Linked DNA regions of Nothobranchius furzeri. The protein of the gene in region 1 binds, or shares a complex with, the protein of each later gene. Links are inferred from orthologs where the notes say so. Each region holds a gene or a part of one and is shown on either strand. Other genes may lie near its edges.

Region 1 (2,638 bases):
AAAAATTCAACACAAGCTCAATCTGCAACAGTCTCAAATTTTTGACATGCAGGATGGAAGCTGGCAGCAGCAAAATTTAGATGCATGTCTGCAAATTTGTTCAGGGCTCCAACTTGGAGTCAGGTTGGAAATGTGGGCAACTCGCAGCCTAAAGGTCTGTGCCGTCTCCAGAATGCTATGCTTAATCACGTGTGGTCGCAAGCCCTATTGGCATGTTCCAACCAACTTCAAGTTCAGCATTATATAGACACTGGCCATGATCATGTTAACTACAGAACAAAGTTAGCCACAGCTATGCTACTTGAGCTAACACTAGCACCACCCTAAACTACTGCCAACACTATCCCGAGCTACAGCCAATGCTATTCCAAGATACTGCTAACACTATCCTGAGCAACTGTCAACGTTGGCCTGAGCTACTGCCAATGCTAGCCCAAGCTGCTGCCAATGCTAGCCTGAGCTACTGCCAATGCTAGCCCAAGCTGCTGCCAATGCTAGCCTGAGCTACTGCCAATGCTAGCCCAAGCTGCTGCCAATGCTAGCCTGAACTACTGCCAATGCTAGCCCAAGCAGCTGCCAATGCTAGCCTGAGCTACTGCCAATGCTAGCCCGAGCTGCTGCCAATGCTAGCCTGAGCTGCTGCCGACGCTAGCCCGAGCTACTGCCGACGCTAGCCCGAGCTACTGCCGACGCTAGCCCGAGCTACTGCCGACGCTAGCCCGAGCTACTGCCGACGCTAGCCCGAGCTACTGCCGACGCTAGCCCGAGCTGCTGCCGACGCTAGCCCGAGCTGCTGCCGACGCTAGCCCGAGCTGCTGCCAAAGCTAGCCCGAGCTGCTGCCAACGCTAGCCCGAGCTGCTGCCAACGCTAGCCCCAGCTGCTGCCAACGCTAGCCCCAGCTACTGCCAGTGCTAGCCTGAGCTACTGCCAGTGCTAGCCCGAGCTACTGCCAGTGCTAGCCCGAGCTACTGCCAACGCTAGCCCGAGTTGCCACCAAAGCTAGCCCAAGCTGCTGCCAACGCTAGCCCGAGCTGCTGCCAACGCTAACCTAAACTACAGCTGATGAAAAATTCATGTCCTGGTTGAGTGGGTGGGGCAAACCAGTCTTTCCATTGTTGGGCTTTATTATGGGGTGTTATTGGTCACTTATTGCTCCTGTGCCATTTTGAGCTCCAACTGTTTCCAATAGTAAAAACAAAGTTTTTGTAGAACCCCATGATAAAAAGACTAAATATTTGCTCATAAGTTTTCCCAAAAGGCCATTTTATCTTCATAATGTCATCAGATAATATCACAGCTAAAATAGTTGTTTCTGCTGTGGCGTTCCTTTGTATTTCTGTGTAAAACGACCACGCTGAGAGAAAAGTAGAAGCAAAATGTGTTTTTTCTCCTCGGATTAAAAAAAAATCTGCAATTCTGTAAGATGTCATTAAAACGCCTTCCTCCCTCCTCAGGGCACGCCACGTCCCAGCAGCCCATACGCCCGTCCTTCATGGATTATTTTGACAAGAAGGACTCCAACAAGGCGGCCCAGCAGCAGGAGAACTACAACCACAACCAGCCGAAGGAGCAACTGGGCTACCACATCCAGTCCAAAAATGTCTTCCCAGACAACTGGAAGGTTCCTCAGGACGGAGACTTTGATTTTGTGAGTTTCTGAGTGTTAATCTAGATCAGGTCTGGGGTCATTTATGGGCCCTGGGGGGGATTTTGTGTCGAGTTGTGTTCCTTCAGTCGGCTGCTGATGCTGTAAACCTATTTTGAGGAGTGCAAATAAAAAGTAAATCACCATAAATTATTTTTTTGCATTATCTCAGAAAATAAATAAAAATTTTGTGGCCCGTGAAGACTGATAACTTTTTTTTAAGTTTATTTTCATTTATTCACAAATAAAAACAAAACACAAAACAGGTTTGCAAAAATAAAAAAAGAAAAAGGAACAGAAAGAAGCAAAACTTATATTATCTGTTCCTGTTAACCAAAATAAATACAAATGACAATAAAGTTACTATAGTTTAAAAAATGTCTGACCTGGTTTACTCTTAACTTTGGCAAAAAATGGAGAGAAAACAAAAATGCACAAAAAAAATGTTTTTCTTCTTATATTAATGAAAGGAGAAAACGATCAATGCACAACAAAACACATTATGATTTTTGGCCCTCTTCTAGAAAATGTTGCACACCCCTGATCTAGATGCAAACTTTTCACAGACAAGTGATTAAAATAGCAAAGCAGAAGCAGCCCAGTGTGACCGATTTCCTTCCTTCCTTCCTTTTTGTTTTGTTTTTGTTTCCACCCAGTTGAAGAACCTGGACTTTGAGGAGCTGCAGCTGCGTCTGAGTGCCTTAGATCCCATGATGGAGCGGGAGATCGAGGAACTCCGGCAGCGCTACACCGCTAAGAGGCAACCCATTCTGGACGCCATGGATGCTAAGAAAAGGCGACAACAGAACTTCTGAGCTCTGTTCCCATTGCTTCCTCTTGTGGCCTCGATTTTCCAAAGCCAGCGCTGAACTTCTGTCCTGGAAGCCCAACAGGAAATGATCATGTTGTAAATGGAATCACTGATCTCTGAAGTTGGATTGGTCTGAGTTTTTTTTTTTTTTTTTTTTTTTTTACATCTTTCATGTTTCCTC
Region 2 (4,250 bases), on another chromosome or scaffold:
CTCCACTGCTGGGATGTAATCCCAGACAGGAGACACTCAGAGCTGGGATTAAGAAGCTCCCCTCCGTGACGTGTGTGTTTTCATATCATCCCCTATTAAATCAGCAAAACAGAACAAGATTATTGCCCAGTAACAGTCTGACTCTACACATGGCTCAGATATTCCTGCAGCGTCTTTGTACATGCTGAGTTGGGATGTTTTATCACATGACTCTATGATTTAGCTGCCAAGAAGAGGAATAAAGACAGAAACTAAATGAGAGAGAAAAAAGAAACCCACAGATGTAGTTGAAAGCCAGAGGACGACGAGACTGGGAGCTGACTGACAGATTCCTCTGCAGGGCAAGGCCACAACAGTCCCAGAGGGACAAGCTGCTGCGTCGCCGTTTCTACAGGATTCCTACGCAACAAAGGCGCAGCAGGCTGAGAGAGGGCAATAAATGAGAGGAAATGCAGCAAAGCAACAAAACAAAAAGACGCTCATTTGTTTCCGTCTCATATTCCCTGTCATTTCCAGGGTGTAGTTGAGAGACGATAACGTGTTCTTCTATTTCGGCAGTTTCGCTTGTTTCTCTTTTCCCCTAAAATACCTTAAAATGCCTCACTGTGTACTGTGTGGTTTACCCTCGTGACCGTGCACGAGGTTCACCAGGGATGCTTAGAGGAAAGAGAGGAGAAGCGTCCAGGCTGCAGGCCAGAAAAAGAGAAGCTAGAGAGAGAGAGAGAGAGAGAGAGAGAGAGAGAGAGAGAGAGAGAGAGAGAGAGAGAGAGAGAGAGAGAGAGAGAGAGAGAGAGAGAGAGAAAGAGAAAGGAAAACACAAGTGAAGTTCTAGGGTTGTGAAAACCTGTGTGTGTGTGTGTGTGTGTGTGTGTGTGTGTATGTGTGTGTGTGTGTGTGTGTGTGTGTGTGTGTGTGTGTGTGTGTGTGGAGGGATTATTGCTTCAGTAATCTCGCTCCAGCGAGCTCTCGCCAACAGCACACTAAATCAGACAGCTCTGCAGAGCCGGACCAACTCCTTTGTTCACATTAGATCTTTCTCTCAGCCTGCCTGCAGTTTTACATCAAACCAAGCTACGTGTCATCTATTCTCCGATGAAAGTGTCCCAGTTGAGGGATTGAAAGGGATTATCCTTTAAGTGTTCCCATTCCTTATCAGTTCCCCTTTCCCTCCTCACTCCTTTCATCGCCTTCAGTCCTTTGGTTCATCCCACCCTCCTCATGACAGAGTGCTGCTGACACAATGCTAGCTCAGCATGAACACACACTCACACACACACTGGATGTACAGTATGTGCACAAATAAACCCACAAAGGCTCTTCAGGTCGTCTGTGTGTGTGTGTGTGTGTGTACATGTCAACACAAATTAAAGCTGTAAACACCAATGCAGGTGGGAGGAGAACAACCCTGAAAGACTGACTCATGAAATCAGGGGTTTCCCTCACTCTGAGTGGGCTTCTTTAGGGGTGATCAACACCAACATCTGTGTCTACATTTGATTGGAGTTTCCTGACTTTTTCTAAATAAAATTTAAAGTTTTTTTTGTCTTGATTGACAAAATAAAAGCCTAATTTAGTCACTTAATGGCCAAATCACACATCTCAGATACATCGGGACTCTTTTTCTCTGTTACCTGCAGGTCCTTGCAGCGTTTCACCACTGCAGCATCATAAATTCACCATCTTTTCTACTTTACTTGCGTGTTAAGTCTGTGAGGCAAAGTCGAAAGAGCGATATAACGGGCTTATATGGCTGGATCCGTGGACAAAGCGATTAGAAATGTCCTTCTGCAGCACTGGCTCGCTCTCAAAGTCCCCATTTTAGTGTGTGTGTGTGTGTGTGTGTGTGTGTGTGTGTGTGTGTGTGTGTGTGTGTGTGTGTGTGTGTGTGTGTGTGTGTGTGTGTGTTCATATACTAAATGAATCAGAACCGTACACTAATGCATGTTCTGGAGGAGTTTTCTCTCAGCCTGACTCACTCTGACACTTGACCACCTGCGCGCTGATCTCCCGGCTGCAGACATCACACCAGTCCTGGTTCACCGGCTGGCTCTCGAAGCGGTGACCCTCGCCCCTTTCAGTCCTCACACGTGGATCCATCTCTTGCGGAAAGATGGACCAGGCCTCGGTGCGGTGAGGTTCGGTCCGGGCCAGCTTCACGATCCCTGTCCTGCTCTGTGTGAGCCGCTCCAGCGGCAGACCGCCGCTCTCCGGGGGGGAAACCACATCGGAGGAGACGCTCTGGTGACCGGTGTGTCCACTCCGACAGCTCCGTCTCAGAGAGTCCCGGTGCCGGAGTGACCGTTTGTTCCCGCTTGGAGTCAGTATGGCGTTCTCCTTCAGAGAGCCCCCCCGCCGACTTGAGTCATATTTGTGGCTGTAGCCATCGACGTGCCCATTCTGTGACCTGCCGCCGCCGCTGTCCTCCGGGTGCGGGCTACGTGGCGCATCAAAGGCAACCGGGGCCCCGCATCCCTCCCTGGGCATTCTCTTCCCTCTTCCTCCGGCTGGTCCAGGAGCCTCCTCGGTCCTAACCGGCTCCAGGTCATCGCCGCTCCTGGTGAACATCATCTTCTCCCAGGACGACTTCCTCGGCAGGGTGATTTTCGTCTTGGTGCCGGAGAGTTTGAAGAGCAGCACCGGCGGTTCCGAGTCCAGCCTGTGCGGACCGGGCTGCTGGCCCACCACGCTCACAGACGCCATTGTCGCGTTCGCCTTGAATGGTTGTGTGTTCGGCGGGTCGGAGTGTGAAGAAATGCGTGTTTTGACTCCGTGCCTCGATTATAAACTCAACTCCCGCCAGTGACAAACGCGTCGTGACGCAAAGTACCAACAGCTTTAAATGCCGTGAGCGCGCTCCTGGCGCACTGATGGGCGCGCGCGCTGTCCCACCAGCCAAGGTTCATCCAGAGCACTAAATGGTCTTCCTGTATCATCAGAAGGTTAAAACTAAACAGTTTGTAATGAAAGAAAATTACAGTTAAATAATAACACGTTTTATTTATAAAAGCGCCTTTCAAGACACCCAAGGGCAATTCACAACAAGTCAGATAAAATAATCATAAACACATAAAATGTTAGATTAAAAAATATTTTCTCTTTAAATAGTCAAGATAAACTTGAAAAGAGTGAATACTTTTGTTTTTATTTGAATATTATCTTAATGTAAAACAGAACTAAAACATAATGTGTGTGGGCTAGAAAGTGTTTGTAATTTTCCAGTGACAAACGCGTCATATGAGCAGTTCATTACAGCCTCCTTAGCCCCCCCCCCCCCCCCCCCCCCCAGCACACACACTCCTCCTACACTCACTTTCTGAAATCAACATCAGCTTATGCTAGTTTAAAAAAAAAAGGGGGGGGGGGACTATTTTCCCCAAAGGTCAGACCACACCACGTGATATTTTTAAATGTTTTTTGGTATATTTTCACTGAAGTGTGCCATCCCATGCACTTCTGTTTTTGGTGTTCTAAGGAACTGTGGCGCCAACGGACTTTCCCTAATAGTGGTCATCTTCACCATTGATGGAGGGGAATTACATGTTGGTATAACTCCCAATGAAAACGAAAAAAAAAACATGACTTATCAAAAACACAAAAAGGAATATTAAAACAGAATGTGTATATTCACTCTTTACTAATTTATTAGTCAAATAAACCAGAAAAAGTGGAAAATCTGAAACAGTTGGAAAGACGAAGACAATAAATATTTTATTTGATTTTCACCTTTTAAAATCTCTGTCGTCTGCCTTACACAGATCCTGACAGATGTGATGGTTGGAAACTGCCGTCAGGACGGCACAGATCATGATTTTCTAAACACAGATCAACACACCAACATGAAAATCTGATTTACACAAACAAAAATCCTAATCAGGCTACGAAACGCTCTCATAGAGGCCATATGTTAAATTCCCAAGTGCTTCTTAAGTGGGCAGAAACAGGAAATGCAGCCAGTAAACCAGCTGACTGGGCATTGGCTGTTTCATCTACAGTCTGTCACCATGGCAGCCTATTAAAAATACAATCACACACATTAACGAGGTTGGTATCAGCACACACACTAAACATCCATCTGCGGCCTATCCCACATCTCTGTGCATCCGACATTTAATCAGAGATTCACATTTTATTGATTGTTTGAAATAGCTTCCTCTTTTTATAACAGCCTCCATCCATCTAGAGAACCGGTCCGCCGCGCAGCAGAGGCTGTTAAAATGAGGCGATGCAGGTGGAGCCATGTCACAGCGTGG
Region 3 (4,402 bases), on another chromosome or scaffold:
AATAACTCTAAGTGGACTTGAAAGCAAAACTTCTCATTTTTAAAAAAACGTCAGAATTTTTCTGACTGCACAAACCGTCGTGGAGTTACGGTTATTCAAACAAACGCATCTAATGTGTCAGAGTTCAGTGTTAGGGTGATGTTTAACATTAAAGGGGTCCAGAAAATCATCGCAATTCCACCTTTTCCTAAGTTCAACAACTTTTCCTTGTTCAGTAGTAACAACTGTAACAAGTGGTGAGAATTTTCTACCTGAAGTCATTTTAAAAAGGCAGCAATCCACTTTGGTTTGTGCTCATGTTAGCCGTTAGCCAATCAGCCCTATAGGAAGTACATTACTTCTCCAAACAGAGGATGTTTAACACACATACCCATTTAAGAGTCGAGTCAAAGACTCTGGACAAATTATTAGTCTGCCAATAGAAAGGTATTAAAAAGCTCAGCATCTCTCCAACATGGCTCCATGACTCGAGCGAGGTGGATCTGTCGTCATAACACGAATACAAGTTGTCAACAAGACAACCGCAAAATAAAACGTTCTCTTCTGTTTGATGAAATACAGAAAATTCCTGCGACCTCAGAACACTTTTAATCTCATGAAAATGACACGCATAGAACAGATTATATAGTATAATGTTGGGCAATGGGATGGAAATATTTTAACTCTTAGAAAAACTAAACTAAAACTGCTTATTTCAGCTTGAAAGCACGCGGCTTGTATTTGTGGTTTAAAACTTTCCATAACATTCAACCATACACCAAAGCTGCCTTTTTACACAAGCTGCACATTTCCATAGGACCCTAACGTTTAAAATCTTAAAATTGACCTCTAAAACATATCTATTTAAACTTTGTGGTGCCGACTGCCTGGTATGATTTTAATTATCCTGCTCTTGTTTAAGCTTCTTATTTAAACCACAAATGTTGCTGCTGACAAGTCATAAATGACCCGCTTCAAGAATGTGTGTGCCATGTATAAAATACACCTGCTTCTAGACATATTGCAAACTATTCCTTTCAAAAGAACACAGCAAATGCATGCCAAGCTTACCTGAGGGGGGTCGGCTGGGAGCTGGGGAAGCGTGTTGGTGAGAAAGTCTTTGAAAGTTGTGTTCATTGTGTTCATAATATCTATAGTCATCAGGAAAGCATTCCTGGACTCTCCTAGGCTGGCGCTGCTGCTGGTTTTCATAATAAGGGTCAGATGGGTAGTAGTACAGAGCACCGTCCCCGTTCTCAGACATGGGACTCACTTCTGTGGGGAAGGATTGCGACGAGCCCCTGTACTCGTGGGACAAGTCTCCCACACTCCGAGGCAGGTATGGAGGTGCCGACAGGCGGTGGCTCTCTCTGCGTGCCACCTCATGTGGAGGCCTCTGTACAGGTGTGCGGAGGACACTTTTGTTACGGGACACCACAGCCTCTCTGTTGGGTGCCACAGAGTAGGAAGTAGACCCAATCTCGGATGGGGGCCCCTCTGTTCGTCTGGGAATAGTAGGTCCATGACGGATGAATGAGGGCATGAGATCTGCAAACAGGTAAGTGGGAACATCATGAATGGTGAACACAGCATCTCCAGCAAAGGGGCGATGTGGTAAACCCAGGATGCAATGGTTGGCAATGTTACATTTTACTTGAAAATTGTAAAATTATCTGTAAAATAAATAAACTATTTAGGTTAATTTAACATGTCATGAGACTTGTGATGAGAATAATTGCAGATTTAATTATCTTTCGTGTGTGTATAGGAGGAAGGCTCAGATTTACTACACATGGATATGATTTGTTATCTAATCACAAACTTTTGATCCAATTTAATAGCTATAGATAAGTAACACTGCCTTAAAACAGATGATATTCTGCAGCAGAAACATTTCTGAAGAGTCTCAGCACATCAAGACATCCCAACATTGTTGGCTAGCATCAAATTATTTTACTATTGACAAGTTGTACTTTGTTCTGGAAATAGGCTGCACTGTCCAAGTATAGCTCCATAAAACACTTGATAACATTTTATTTTGTGTCATTTCAAATACATACCTGCATATCTGAAAGAGCAGAGAAGCTGCTGCACTTTAGACACCGACAGAGTCCGTTTTCTTATAGTTCTTGAGGACAAGTCCTCATATTTGAAGGAAAACCTTCAAACTGCAGGATTCTAATGCATTTAGCAGAGTAGCAAGTTTTAAATGTTTTTAAACTTCATTGGTGACAGTTTTGCGTCATTACCAGAAACTGAGTACTCTGGTCTTTAAAGTATCCTTTAAAGAGCAGACTCCATAAGTTCTGATGACTATTTACACAGCCCAGCAATTTATTTAACATTTAATTTGCTTTATTGGTGCAACTAATCGACTTAAAACTTCAAATGCAGATCAAGTCCATAGCCTTCAGCTAACAGCAAACTACAATGTAGCATCCCGTTAGGGTCGTGCGTAAAGTAAGACAAATTAAAAACGTAAAAAACACAAGATAAGAAGTGTCCATAAACTTTATTCTGTTTTTTTAAATGAGCAGTTTACTAGCGGACAGTGGCAAACTTCAGTTAGCAGGCTAATGCTAACCCTAGCTAACTAGTCGACTACTTGTTGCGCTTACTTCTGAGGAGCGGCGACGTTTCCTTCTTCACATATTTCCCGTGTACCTCGGCTGGTTTCGACGCTTCGTTTTTACTTTTCTTTCGTGAGAGCATAACTCAAAGCTCAGAAACGTCAAAAACTCGGCTGTGATGTCATGGCACAATCCTCCGCAGCCCTGGCAGGAAACAACGGGCGGAATGTGAACATTTTCTACAGTTAGCGCTTAGCCGGCTAGCTGCTGCTACAGCGAGCGATTGCAGCGATTCAGTCCCACAGCTGGCCCTCCTCACCCGGGCTGGGTGTTTACGATCCTCCCAGCTACTAAAGCGCCCTCTACCGGATAGCAGGCGTACAAAAACGTACAAAGTGTGTTGACAAAACACGAAAAAAATAAAACAATGGACACTTTAACTAGTGCTTTTATACTCTTTATTTCCAAGTTCTCACCTTATTGTAAACACGCTTTGTGAATAATTGCCTCTTTAACTAAACATTGTTAGAGAGAAAAGTTCAACTATAAGGAAAATAAAACCATGAAAACAAAACTATAAAACTTTGAATATGGCTAAATAATGCTAATATATTCACCATTATTTGATTTTTATTAACCACCAACCACAGCTCATACACTTTATTTTCACATCACCCTAATTTCACTTTAGTGTTCATCACTGCAGAGAAAGTCAAGCATTCATAATGGCACCGTCTAACAGTAACTTTACATATTGCAGTATAGTTTCACAAGCATATTTCTATTTTTCTTAATATTACTATTTGACATACATTAAAAGTGTGCAGAGTTTCAAGTAGTGTTAAATAGGAGCAAAAAACCTCCATTACGATTCATGATTTTATCACAAACCGATTCTGGTCCTTCATCGTATGGCTGCTTACAAATAAACAATGAGATAAAAACACCTGTATCAAAATACATAACAGTGCTACATTTCTCATATTATATATATATATATATATATATATATATATATATATATATATATATATATATATATATATATATATATATATATATATATATATATATATATATATATATGATACAACAGTTTCTACTTTAAGATATTTGTAAAATAATAAATTACAGAGAAATAAAATGTCTAAAATATGACTTGATATTTGCAAGTTCAGCAACTTAGAATAACAAAAATACTGCAAAAATCCAAGTAAAAAATTGCAATAGAACCTTCAGATTCTTGTCCATTTGGTAGGATTTGCTACAGAGGTGTCCCTGAAGGTAAAAGTCCATTTTACATAGAGAACATTAAAAGAAAATGAGATGCTGAGATGTCATCATGCGTATTTACAGTTATAAGAAAGCCCTGGAAGATAAGACGGGTTTAGATCCCGTACAATCTTATTCAGGGTGGAGATCTTCTCCTCCAGCAGGTAGTTCTTTTTCTCTGCAATTTCATGTCGCTGCTCAGTTCTCTCCAGAGCCTTTACCAGATGGGAGTTCTCCACATACAGGTCTTTGATCAGAACATCAGCTTTGCCATTCTTGTTCAGCTAAGAGAAAAAAAATACATAGAAAGTTACAGATAGTTTGAGTCTTGATTGGAAACATATTGGTCCAAAATATACAGATCAGATGGATTAGAAGATTAGTAACTGGAAAAAATTGTTTTACTAAATCCAAGAATGCAGTCTTTCCTAAATTTGAAGTTTAATTCAGCGTTTTACTGCCCCCTTTTGGTGTCACGAACAATTACATCAACATATATTGATGCAATTATTTTACCATTAAACCAGCCAGACTCCTAGAAGCTGAGACCCTCTGACCTTTTGCTTGCTTGCTTGCTTGCT

The links.
Region 2: the proteins of stk3 (region 1) and rassf5 are in contact, whole or in part, in a crystal structure (PDB 4LGD), measured with the Homo sapiens proteins. The link is inferred for Nothobranchius furzeri from reciprocal best matches to the Homo sapiens genes STK3 and RASSF5. Residues at the interface, in NP_006272.2 of Homo sapiens: Phe437, Phe439, Leu440, Leu445, Leu448, Gln449, Arg451, Leu452, Leu455, Asp456, Met458, Met459, Glu462, Ile463, Leu466, Arg467, Tyr470, Lys473, Arg474, Pro476, Ile477, Leu478, Ala480, Met481, Lys484, Gln488; in NP_872604.1 of Homo sapiens: Trp369, Asp370, Ala371, Phe372, Ile374, Leu377, Gln378, Phe380, Leu381, Leu384, Glu385, Glu387, Glu388, Lys391, Ile392, Val395, Gln396, Lys398, Tyr399, Phe402, Arg403, Lys405, Leu406, Ala409, Leu410, Ser413.
Region 3: the proteins of stk3 (region 1) and sav1 are in contact, whole or in part, in a crystal structure (PDB 6AO5), measured with the Homo sapiens proteins. The link is inferred for Nothobranchius furzeri from reciprocal best matches to the Homo sapiens genes STK3 and SAV1. Residues at the interface, in NP_006272.2 of Homo sapiens: Trp429, Lys430, Val431, Pro432, Gln433, Gly435, Phe437, Phe439, Leu440, Lys441, Asn442, Leu443, Ser444, Leu445, Leu448, Gln449, Arg451, Leu452, Leu455, Asp456, Met458, Met459, Glu462, Ile463, Leu466, Arg467, Arg469, Tyr470, Ala472, Lys473; in NP_068590.1 of Homo sapiens: Tyr311, Ala312, Arg313, Ala314, Pro315, Asp319, Trp324, Glu325, Phe327, Gln328, Leu329, Leu332, Asp333, Gln336, Leu339, Lys340, Leu342, Phe343, Glu346, Leu347, Ile350, Val351, Met353, Tyr354, Ala356, Tyr357, Arg358, Ala360, Leu361, Leu362.

What each region holds. Positions count from the first base shown.
Region 1 is NC_091759.1:1,436,351-1,438,988, reverse strand, and holds part of stk3 (serine/threonine-protein kinase 3), read left to right. Parts: intron 1-1,455; coding exon 1,456-1,649; intron 1,650-2,302; coding exon 2,303-2,461; 3' UTR 2,462-2,638. UniProt on the Homo sapiens protein: Stress-activated, pro-apoptotic kinase which, following caspase-cleavage, enters the nucleus and induces chromatin condensation followed by internucleosomal DNA fragmentation.
Region 2 is NC_091743.1:51,065,650-51,069,899, forward strand, and holds the start of rassf5 (ras association domain-containing protein 5), read right to left. Parts: upstream 2,830-4,250; 5' UTR 2,701-2,829; coding exon 1,977-2,700; intron 1-1,976. Other genes in the region: ikbke (inhibitor of nuclear factor kappa-B kinase subunit epsilon), read right to left, coding at 4,240-4,250. UniProt on the Homo sapiens protein: Potential tumor suppressor. Seems to be involved in lymphocyte adhesion by linking RAP1A activation upon T-cell receptor or chemokine stimulation to integrin activation.
Region 3 is NC_091758.1:19,778,402-19,782,803, forward strand, and holds the start of sav1 (protein salvador homolog 1), read right to left. Parts: upstream 2,845-4,402; 5' UTR 2,692-2,844; coding exon 2,598-2,691; intron 1,528-2,597; coding exon 1,051-1,527; intron 1-1,050. Other genes in the region: nin (ninein), read right to left, coding at 3,890-4,105. UniProt on the Homo sapiens protein: Regulator of STK3/MST2 and STK4/MST1 in the Hippo signaling pathway which plays a pivotal role in organ size control and tumor suppression by restricting proliferation and promoting apoptosis.